2 linked regions of the Caenorhabditis elegans genome follow. The protein of the gene in region 2 interacts with the protein of the main gene of each other region in a pairwise test. Each region holds a gene or a part of one and is shown on either strand. Other genes may lie near its edges.

Region 1 (4,901 bases), on a different chromosome or scaffold from region 2:
CTGAAATTTTAAAAAATTCACTGACAGCCTAAAACAGAGAAATAATTTCAGATTAACAGCTTATTTTGTCCGCTGGAATGATTTTTCCCACTAATATTTGAAACATTTTCGAAAATATATGATCTATTTGAAACAATGTTAAGAAGAAAAATTGTTATGTGAAATATCTAAAAATAGTATTTAGAGAAATTTTAGACAAAATAACAGTTAACTAAAAAACTTGAAGAAAATTCAACAACATCTTGAAACAGTTTTTTTTTCGAATATTCATAGTTAAAACTGAAAAAAACAGGATTTTACACAATTTTTTCTTTTTTTTTTAGAATTCATCTTTCTGTTGAATTTTAGCAAAAAAAACTGTATTTAAAATCAATTTTATGTAGAGAACGTCGTTTACAAAACTACATGCTCAAAGAAACATCTAAAGCAGTGGAAAAAAAGTGTCTCCCATTCTTCAGAAAATCTCTCCACAGTAAAAGAACAAAAAGTCATCGGAAATGAGAACGGCGAACGCAATTTATTCATTTGTTCGTCCCCTCTCTTCATCGAGGACATTCTCTCACTCACACCTTTTTAACCTTCTGTCTCACTCTCTATTTCTCCACTCTCTCTACACACTTTGGCAGAGTGCCAACGTGCGGGAAGAGAGTGTGAGACGCAGAGTGGAGAGAGGGAAATGACATATTGTTTTAGATGGTCTCTTGTTTGCCGTGGAGAAATGGACCGTTTGAGACAGGGAAGGGAAGGGTATTTTCGATTACTCACACCTTGCACATCCTTGCATTTCCAGTGACGTCATCGGGAACCAATTGTCAAGTTTTTAAAAATTGCTGTTTTACTGTTTCATTTTATCCTTATCAATTGTGCAATAAAATAACAGCTAATCAGAAACATTTTCTCAAAGTTTTGAAACAGTAATTTTAATTTAAAAATTGAAATTTCTTGAAGTTTTAAAAGCAAATTTATGAATTTTCACCGTTTAATTATTTTGAAATATTAAAAAATTTTCAGGCAAGGATTCCATGTATATTATGAAACTTATATGGGTCAAATTTATTTCAAAGGTTAAGTAACAATAATATGAGTTTAACTTGCAAGTCGTTAAAAAACATATTGAAATAGTTTTTTTTGCCAAAATAAAGTGGCCTCGATAAAACTTTCATTAAGCAAACATTTTTTTTGCAAATTTTGAAGAAAATTAACTTGGAATACACTTAAATAAAAACTGCTATTAAAACATTCAAATGTTCAATTTATTCTTATTTATGGTAGGCTGGTTACATTAAAAAATTTTTAACTTGGTTTTGCAGTTTCAGTTGCATATACATTGTCAAACAAAAATTAGATTTAACTATTTTTGGATCTGATAACCAAAAATGTTCGGAAAAAAGTATAAACCCTTGAAACCGAAACTATTTTTTTCAATTTCTAAAGTTTTGCCGCAACTCAAAAGTTGCAATAAATGACCACTAGCGTCGTCGTTCCAATCCAATGATATACCAATAAAACATAGCCGAAACGAATATTAATGACAATAATAAACATTTTGTAGACCTGGCTGAGAGATAGTGTGGGATTTGGAGAGACGGAAGACACAACACTAATCCGATGCAAAAACGGAAAAAATAGGACGGACTGTTTGTATTTGGCGGCGGTTAGGGTTTTGAAACGGCTTTTTTGGAGGGAATTAAAGAGAGGTGAGATGGGAATATCGGATGAATTAATGGCACTATCTTTAATCAATTTAAGTAGTTTTATCTAAACAATTTGAAACAGTAGAAATTTATTTTTCGCAGTCGAGAATTTTAGAATACCGACTTTATGCAGAATTAGGTTGCTTTTAGAGAAATTATCAACTTTCAAAATATATCTGGTTTCCGACTGCCTTTTTATTTTCGAGAACTAATATGTTAAGCAATAGAAACAGTCGGAAAAAAGTTTCCAAAATTTTTTCCTTGACAAACTCCGATTTTCTATTTTTTAACGAAATATTTTACTACTTTTCAGAAAGAAAATTTTGAAATAGGCAACTTTTAACCAGTAATTTGTTTTACAAAAAGTGGTGGAACAACGGTCAAAAAGTGGTTGATTTCTCTGCGTTTTGTTCAAGAGCGAGAATGTCACTCAATTCAGAGCAGTTTTATCTTAAGGTGTAAAAACAGTAGAAAAAAGTTGATACCAAATTGTAGAACAAAACACTTTCTGTATTATTGCTTTGAATATTTTGGATTTTCATAAATATTTTAAAGAGAAGATCGTAAGCTATGCAGTACTACTAGAAAGGACAGGCACTTAAATCAATATTTAATGGAAAATTAAAGGTTTTATTTGGGAAACTAGAAAAAGTAAAAATAAGTGTTAGATTTTTTAGCTAAAAGCCGAGATTTGCTGTTGTTATGCAGAATTAGTTCGTTTTTGAAAAAATACACTACTTTCGTTTCAGCTTGTCAACGAGACCCTATGAGACTGCCCTTCTATTTTGGAGCAGTTATATCTTAAGAACTAGAAACAGTTTTTTTTTTAATTTTTAAACTTAATTTCTAGTTTCGGAATTTTAACTATTTTTTTAATACGCAATCAGTTATTTCTTTTGTTTTTTTTTAATTTTAAGAGTATCAATTTGAATGTGTGAGATTATTCAGAGAAAAAAATCGAGATCATATATAATAAAAACTTATCTGTTTTTCTTTGATGTCAAAAAGAGCTTAGATATTTTCAGTGATATCTAAGGAACTTGAAACTTTAGAACATTTTGTTGGCTGAAAATTTAATTTTCTTCAAATAAATATGTTCTATGCCCAATTTTTAAGTTAGTTTTTGATCAATTTTTCATTTCTGGTTTTGAAGTTCGATTTCAAAAATAAGTGCTTTTCTATTTCCTTGTACTACTTCTCAAGAACCAGAAACTGCAAAACTTTTTTTTTCAATTTCAAAATTAATTCAAACTTTGAGATCTCTTTCAAACCCCTCCCAAAAATAAAAATTCCAAAAAAAAAAACTAACCTAACTAGCGTATTAATCTGTTCCGAAGTGTACACCTCCTTCTTTCGCATCGTCCTTTTAGCGGTATCCGACATAGCTCCCCACTCGGAGCCATCCGCCTCGGTTCCCTCCTCTGGTATGGGCTCCATTTCTTGCATCCACCCCGAGGAGATCATCTGTAAAATGTTGGGATTTTGAGGAGGAATTATTGATTATTTAAAAAGTGGACGGAGAGTTGAGAGAAAATGTTAACAATGAGACATCAGATATGGTTTTATAACAGTGCTTATGAGTACTATGTGAAAAAGTGAATTTTTTTCAAAATTTTTTTTTAAAACAAAATTTCACCTATTCACATTTTCGATTTATTTTGCAAAAATTTCACGAACAATTACGTGATCTAGTTCCGAATAGAAAAAATAACATTTTGATATGCATTCAGGAATAATTGTAAATTTTAGTATTCTATGGAGAATTCTGTTAAAACCTTGAATTAGCAGTTTTAATAGAAATCTCAAAATTAATTATGACAATTTTAATCAATTTTTGAGTGAAGTGAGAATTTTCATACGAAAAATATATATTTACTGCATCGTAGTACAATTAGTTTTATTATAAAATTAGCTTTTTTTGTGAACATTCTGAAACAGTACTTGTCAGTAGAGTAGAGAACAAAACAGACCGATTTTTGAATAATTCTTGAAACGGCCAGTTTTCTCAAAATCGAAGCGTTTTTCAATTGAAAACAAAACGATTTAAGACATTTCTGAAACGGTGAAATTTGTTTTTTCGAAAATGCAAAAAACTCCACAATTTTTTCCAGAAATCAACGCGTATTCCGGATTTCTAGCAACAAAAAACGTTATGCGACGAAGATAATACATTTTCCTCTTAAGAAATTAACTTTTCAGCAGTTGTAGAAATTTTTTTGAAAAATAATGTTTCAAGTTATCCATTTATTATCGTAAAATTTGCTTCTACATTGAGTACAGCTCACATTCAAAAATTGGTAATTCTTTAAAACTTTCATTGAGAAACTTTCTAACAATCAAAAATTCCTAAATTAATTGAAAAATTTTGAAAACGAATTTGACGATTTTCTGCACAATTTCGGAATTTTCGTAGAAAAATTTCAAAAAAAAGCTTTTTTTAAAAAATATCATTTTTTGAAAAAAAAACCGTAAATTATGAAGAACTGTTAGTAAACCGAGTAATATTACAAAAATGCAGATGAAATTTTGGGAAAAGTCAAACATTTTCATCCAAAAGTCATTTTTTTCAAATTTTTAATAATAATTTTAATTATTCTGTAAGAATTCAACGTAATATGCCACGTGGAAGAAAGTTTAGGATGGAAACAAATCTAATTACTCAAGTAAACACCATACTGCAAGTTAAAAAATTTATTTGTTTATATGTTACTTTTGAAACGGCAAATTTTTTTTCCAAAATTGTCTTTTTTTTAATAGCGAGATTCATGGAAAATATAAAAATGCTCCAAAACTTCTATTTTCGAAAAGAACAGTAAAACCAAAAAAAGCCAAACCAAAAATATCATAATTATTAATCAAAGCACCCGTCTCCCATCGGAGGTGGTAGACAATTGGTGGGTGCAAATAAATTTTTTTTGAGCAAGATTGATGAGCCGCGATTTGGAGGGAGCCGCTGAGGATCCCAGTGGGAAAAGTGTAAGAGAAGGCACTTTTTGGTGGGAAATTTGAAAAAAATTTAGGATTAAAATTGTTTCTGTTTCAAAATGTTTTCAAAGTTAAAGACAAAGTTAATGTGAAGTTTTATCTCAAAATGTTCATTTTAAGCGAGGTTTTGTTTTTAAAATGTTTGCTGTCGAAATGGCTATGCAAATTTTAAATCAAACTCATCAGCTCCTGCCGATTAGGTTTCTTTTCTTCGGTTGTTAC
Region 2 (5,060 bases):
TCGGATAGAAAAATCTATAAACTTGTAAGGAAAGTATTTCAGCTCTGAAACTGCTTTCAGTAAATTGTTTTCTTCGAAATGTGGATTTTTGCAAGCTTTTGGTGATGTTTATGGTGTTTGGAGGTAAGCAAACACTCTGGGAGCTTTTTGGAACTTGGTTTTGTTTGAAAAATGTGAAACTGCTGACACAAGTTTCATTTAAAAATCTAAAAGTGAGCTGAAATACTTTCCTTGATAGTTTTCAAAAAGTTATTTTCAAGAAGTTTTACTAATGTAGTGGAACGGTCGGCAGCCAATTTTTGTGTTCTAATCCTGCAATCAGTTACTGATAAGACATTTAAAAACGGAAAAATACACCAAAAAAGTACTGATTCTGTGTTTTTTCTTGATTGACAGGAGTCATTGATTTATGATTATTGCGTACTCTTTTTATGATTCCTGATTACAAACGATTCACGTCATCAAGCACGTGGAGAATCTTGAAACGGATCAAGGTGATATTAATATAGACCACATATATTATTTTTTGCTCCCAAACTACGGTATCATGTCTCAAAATGTCAATTTTTGTAAACTACAAAAAGGTGTGCGCCTTTAAAGAGTACTGTAGTTTCAAATTTTTGTAGCTGTGAATTTTCATCGATTTTTTATGGTTTTAATTTTTAATTTTAGGTTTTCGATAAATAAATATACAAATATTTAATGAAAAACAATGGAAAAGTTTAATTACAGTACGTTTTAAAGGCGCATACTTTTTATGAATTTCCAAAAAAATAATTGTCGTGTTGAGACGCAAAAAGCGTGTAGTAACACACGATAAGATAAAAACTAACCAAAGTAGCCATCAACTGCTGAAGCTCAACGAACGCATGTTGTTTGGTGGCTCGAACACGCTGATGAGCTTGAACACAATGAATACACAAAGCTTCCTGACATTGCATACAGTAGGCGAACGATCTGAAAAATTTAAATATAATTTAATTATCTTTGAAGTTTTAGGGGAAAACTAACATTTTCGATTCGCATCCTTGACATTGAATCGGACCCATTGGCTGTTGTTGTTGTGGCTGAGATCCAAGTGGTGAAGGAATTGGAAAAGTTTGCTGTGATTGTGAAGACATTGGTGTTGCCAATTGAAGACGTGGCGTCGAGCACATGGAATTACGTGGTGGAGCTATGGTTGCAGAATGTTTTGGAACATCTGGTGATGCCATCAATGATGGTGGCATATGCATTGAAGTATTCGTTGGAGAGAGTGGAGAGAATACAGGAGTATCATCGTTCTGTAAAGAATACGAGGAATTAGGTGCAATTTCAGCTCGCAGGAGGGCGCATTTAGCAAAAAAAATTAGAAAAAAGACTTATTGAACTTATTGAAGCCAGGGAGAAAAATATGTTTCTTGGGAAGAGAGAAATGCTAACTTTTTTTTGCGAAAAAAATGATTTTTGAAATATTATGGGGCCGTAGAAAAATGCTCATTTTTTAATCGAGGTCCACCCCCAGAAGTTGGGTCTCGTTAGGTATTGACGGCGAAACCGTAAATTGAACCATTTTTCGATTTGCGACCACATAATATATAACATCATAAATTCGGGAAATTGAATTTGTTTATAGCTCCACACTCCACAAAATTGTACTTTTCTCTGTTTGAAATTTGATAAAAACTGACCACTGCCAACGAATCAAACACATTTTGCATCAACATCGGCGATTGTTGCTGGTGTCCTCCGATGCTCGACAGATTATTGATAGAAAGCTGTGATGGTTGTTGCAATGGAGACCATGATGTCAAACTGCTGTCCGAGTCGGGGAATCCAATTGGACGCATCATGAGCCCACCAGCAGACGATGGCATCCGTGCACCCATCACTGGAGACGGTGATCCAGGCATTCCACTGAGTGAGAATGAGAATGCACGAGGTTGATGAAGTGGAGTTGATGCTGGAATTTGGGTTATTCTTCGGTGTAAATTGAGAATTAAAACATACAATTAATGTGATTATTCATCGTTGGTGTCGAACAATCCGACATCAGAGCTCCACGTGGCGGTGATGGAAGCGTCGGAGACAGGTACATCTGCGATGTAAAGTTGGCGGTGGCTGTCGATACGGCACCACACAGCTTGCAAGCTAAAATTCATAAATCATACAGAAAGTTGAGATATTTATTTACCCCGTCGATCGTACGAGGACGGTGTCATCTGGTAGCATGATTGGCACGTTCTAAAAATAATTGTCATTTTGATAATTTGTCTTGAAACCCCACTTGTGCGCACAAACGAACGGCAGCACTCCAATCGTCGAGCTCTTGGAGCAGACTGAGCACCGAAAGGAGTCTTGCGGGAGTCCGAGTCCGAATCCAGTGTTGAACTGGAACTGTGGTTGCTGCTGTGGTGACTGAATCATTGACGGTGGAGTGTCAAATAGTGAGCCAGTGAACTGTGGTGGTGGTGGTCCCGAGCCAAGATGATTATCCTGATGATGATGGTTTGGTGAATGCTCACCGCGATGGTGGGACATTGAGTCACCTGAAGTTGTTTCGTTGGAAGCTTTTTTTTCAATTTTCAAGTGTTACCTTCACTGCTGCTTCCGCCCATCGACAGCTCGTTTCCGCTGTCGTTGGCGTCCACGTCGATCTCAGTTTGAAGCCGACGAGGTCCTGATGGTGCTCCTTCTTCTTTCTCCAATGAGCATGGCACGATGGTCGCCATTTCACTTTTTCCAAGTCTGAAAAGGTTGATTAATTATCAGTGGAAAGGGCAAACGATGACTCTACAATTAGAATACTTATGAATTTTTTGACTTTTCAGAACGAATGGAACAATTAATCGAACAAAAAAGTCAGTGAAGCACAAAAAAAGTGCACTTTTTATATGAAAATAATGGAACAAAATGAGAGAAAAATGGCCCGAGGGCTGCTGATGACAAGGATTTTTGATGGGAAAATCAGAAAAATGCCGCTCTTTCAATTTAATATTCGAAAATAAAAACAAAAAACAAAAAATTAAGTAGTCAAAAAATTTGTGGTAGGTCAAAATTTTTCGAATAAAAAAATTTTATTAATTTTTTTTCGACGTTTTTAATTTTTAATATATTTTCGCATTTTGCTTTGTTATTTAAAAGTTCCTCACCTTTATTCAAGATCACGATCGTTTCCAACGTCGCATTCCCGCCGTTTCCGGCTCTTTTTGTACTTTAAGTTGGTTTTTATCCTAAAAAACCAACTTTTCCCTCCTCCAGCGACGTCGAGCCTTTTCCTTGAGTAACGAGGCGATCGGCTCTTCCTTTTTACCCGTTCGCCAACCGTGGCCTGAAATAAAACGAGACTTAAATATATTAATTGAATGTTTTTCAAAAATTATCGAAAAATGATGCGACAATAAAATAATAAAACAAATGGGGTTACGGTAGCTTATCGATTTTTCCTTGAAAATACGGGGCGAAATGAATTTGAATGTATCTGAAGATATTTTTAAAGAGTTTTTTGTAATAAATTTGTTAAAATTTTATTTGATAGAAGAATTCACTGAAAACACTTATTTTTAGATGAAAACTCGTAATTTTATGTGTTGGGTCTCGTCACGAACACAAAATTTTTCCAACCGACTATGCGCCTTTAAGGATTACGGTACGGTTCTCTATCTCAAAAATTGTTTTACCAAACATTTTTTGCGACATAATTTGTTTTTTCGATAAATTTTCAAAAAAAATTAAACAAAAAAATCTGAAACATTTTTCCTTCCAAAAAATTCAATACGGAAGTAAGTTTTTGAGCAGCTCCTTAAAAAGTGATGGAAATGGCAAACATTTTAGGCTTTGTGAAAGCTTTACAGGGATTTAATCGAAGCAATAGAAACCGGGAAGCGAAAATTGAAGAATGCGAAAAACACTAACTAAATAAACATCTCGCGTTGGATTAATCAAAGTAAAATAAACAAAAACGCCCCTTTTTTCGAAATTGTAGGAGTTTTCTGGACAATTCTCTAGGTTTTCCAGGCCAAAAACTTAAAGTTGGAATTTGTCTTAGGATCACATTTTACACCGAGTGATTTTTACTATGTGGCCGCGACATACAAAAACACGGCCACCTTCCTAAAAGGAGCTATGGTCATTTTCTCGAAAATCTGCTCGTTGAAATAACTTGGTCGGCAAGCTTCACAAAGTTCTGAAGTGAAAAATTAAAGATGAATCACTGGCCGAATTTTTGGACTTTCTAGGCCACGTAGCAAAAACCAATATATTGTACGAATTATGTTCTGGATGAACCATATAAAAGATACATGTCTAACTATTCATTGCTAATTTTTATTAAATATTACATGTCCGGATATCTGGAAGCAAAGTTTCATGAATTTCGTTTCAATTACTGATTTTTATTTCTAAGACTTATTGAACTTGTGACCTTTTGACCTAAAGTCTCAAAATATCATAAAGGGGCGTGACATATCTTTTTCATATCAAGACAGATTCTAACAGATATACATTGGAAGTAACTTCAATTCATTTTTTGAAAAAAAAATCGCAAAAACCTATGGGACATTGAACACGGTGGGAACGATAAAAGTGTGTGTATGTCTGTGTGTGTGTGTAGAAGTCTTTTTCCCCTCTTTCCTCTCCATTTCTCTAAATTTCCACCCCTAGGCTGCCCCGCTGTCTCCCCCAGGCGCCCCAAATGTCTGTAGTCTCTTCGTCGTTCCCACTCTCTACACACCTGGGGGTGAGCGCCGCGCCGAAGGACTGCTGGGGGTAGGCTGCACGAGAGTGGACAGATGGTTAGAGAAAGAGTGAAAACTCTTTTTTTTTTGCGGAAAAAAGGGGAAGAAGGGGAAGACGAAGAGACCAAAGTGTTTCTCTTTCACTGGGCTCAGTGCTTTTGATCTCTGCGTGTCTCTAGTTTGTTCTCTCTTTCTCATTCTTTTTTCCATTCAGTGTTCCCCTCTCACCCCCAGTGATCTTCTCCGCCGCGCCGTCGTCGCAAAAACAGAATTTCGTGCCAAAAGTGCAAGGCCTCATGTTTGAAAGAGTAGTGTACTTTTTCACTTTTTTCGCAAAAAAAGGAG

What was found.
Region 1: the proteins of lin-41 (region 2) and jac-1 interact in a two-hybrid assay, tested with the Caenorhabditis elegans proteins (one study listed by BioGRID).

What each region holds. Positions count from the first base shown.
Region 1 is NC_003282.8:16,023,690-16,028,590, forward strand, and holds the start of jac-1 (Fibronectin type-III domain-containing protein), read right to left. Parts: upstream 3,159-4,901; coding exon 3,004-3,158; intron 2,865-3,003; exon of another isoform or gene 2,840-2,864; intron 2,744-2,839; exon of another isoform or gene 2,723-2,743; intron 2,700-2,722; exon of another isoform or gene 2,679-2,699; intron 2,467-2,678; exon of another isoform or gene 2,446-2,466; intron 2,301-2,445; exon of another isoform or gene 2,280-2,300; intron 2,118-2,279; exon of another isoform or gene 2,091-2,117; intron 1,940-2,090; exon of another isoform or gene 1,919-1,939; intron 1,882-1,918; exon of another isoform or gene 1,861-1,881; intron 1,733-1,860; exon of another isoform or gene 1,709-1,732; intron 1,363-1,708; exon of another isoform or gene 1,342-1,362; intron 1,079-1,341; exon of another isoform or gene 1,055-1,078; intron 906-1,054; exon of another isoform or gene 885-905; intron 874-884; exon of another isoform or gene 848-873; intron 207-847; exon of another isoform or gene 183-206; intron 91-182; exon of another isoform or gene 70-90; intron 1-69. UniProt on the Caenorhabditis elegans protein: May act as a positive modulator of hmr-1 function during epidermal morphogenesis. Required for proper localization of other junctional components, such as pac-1.
Region 2 is NC_003279.8:9,339,187-9,344,246, forward strand, and holds the start of lin-41 (Protein lin-41), read right to left. Parts: upstream 3,311-5,060; 5' UTR 3,132-3,310; intron 2,728-3,131; 5' UTR 2,712-2,727; coding exon 2,576-2,711; intron 2,529-2,575; coding exon 2,267-2,528; intron 2,224-2,266; coding exon 2,174-2,223; intron 2,131-2,173; coding exon 1,990-2,130; intron 1,943-1,989; coding exon 1,671-1,942; intron 1,284-1,670; coding exon 1,012-1,283; intron 958-1,011; coding exon 834-957; intron 1-833. UniProt on the Caenorhabditis elegans protein: Heterochronic protein which acts downstream of let-7 in temporal patterning. Plays a role in the developmental timing of postembryonic hypodermal seam cell division and fusion events and adult alae production.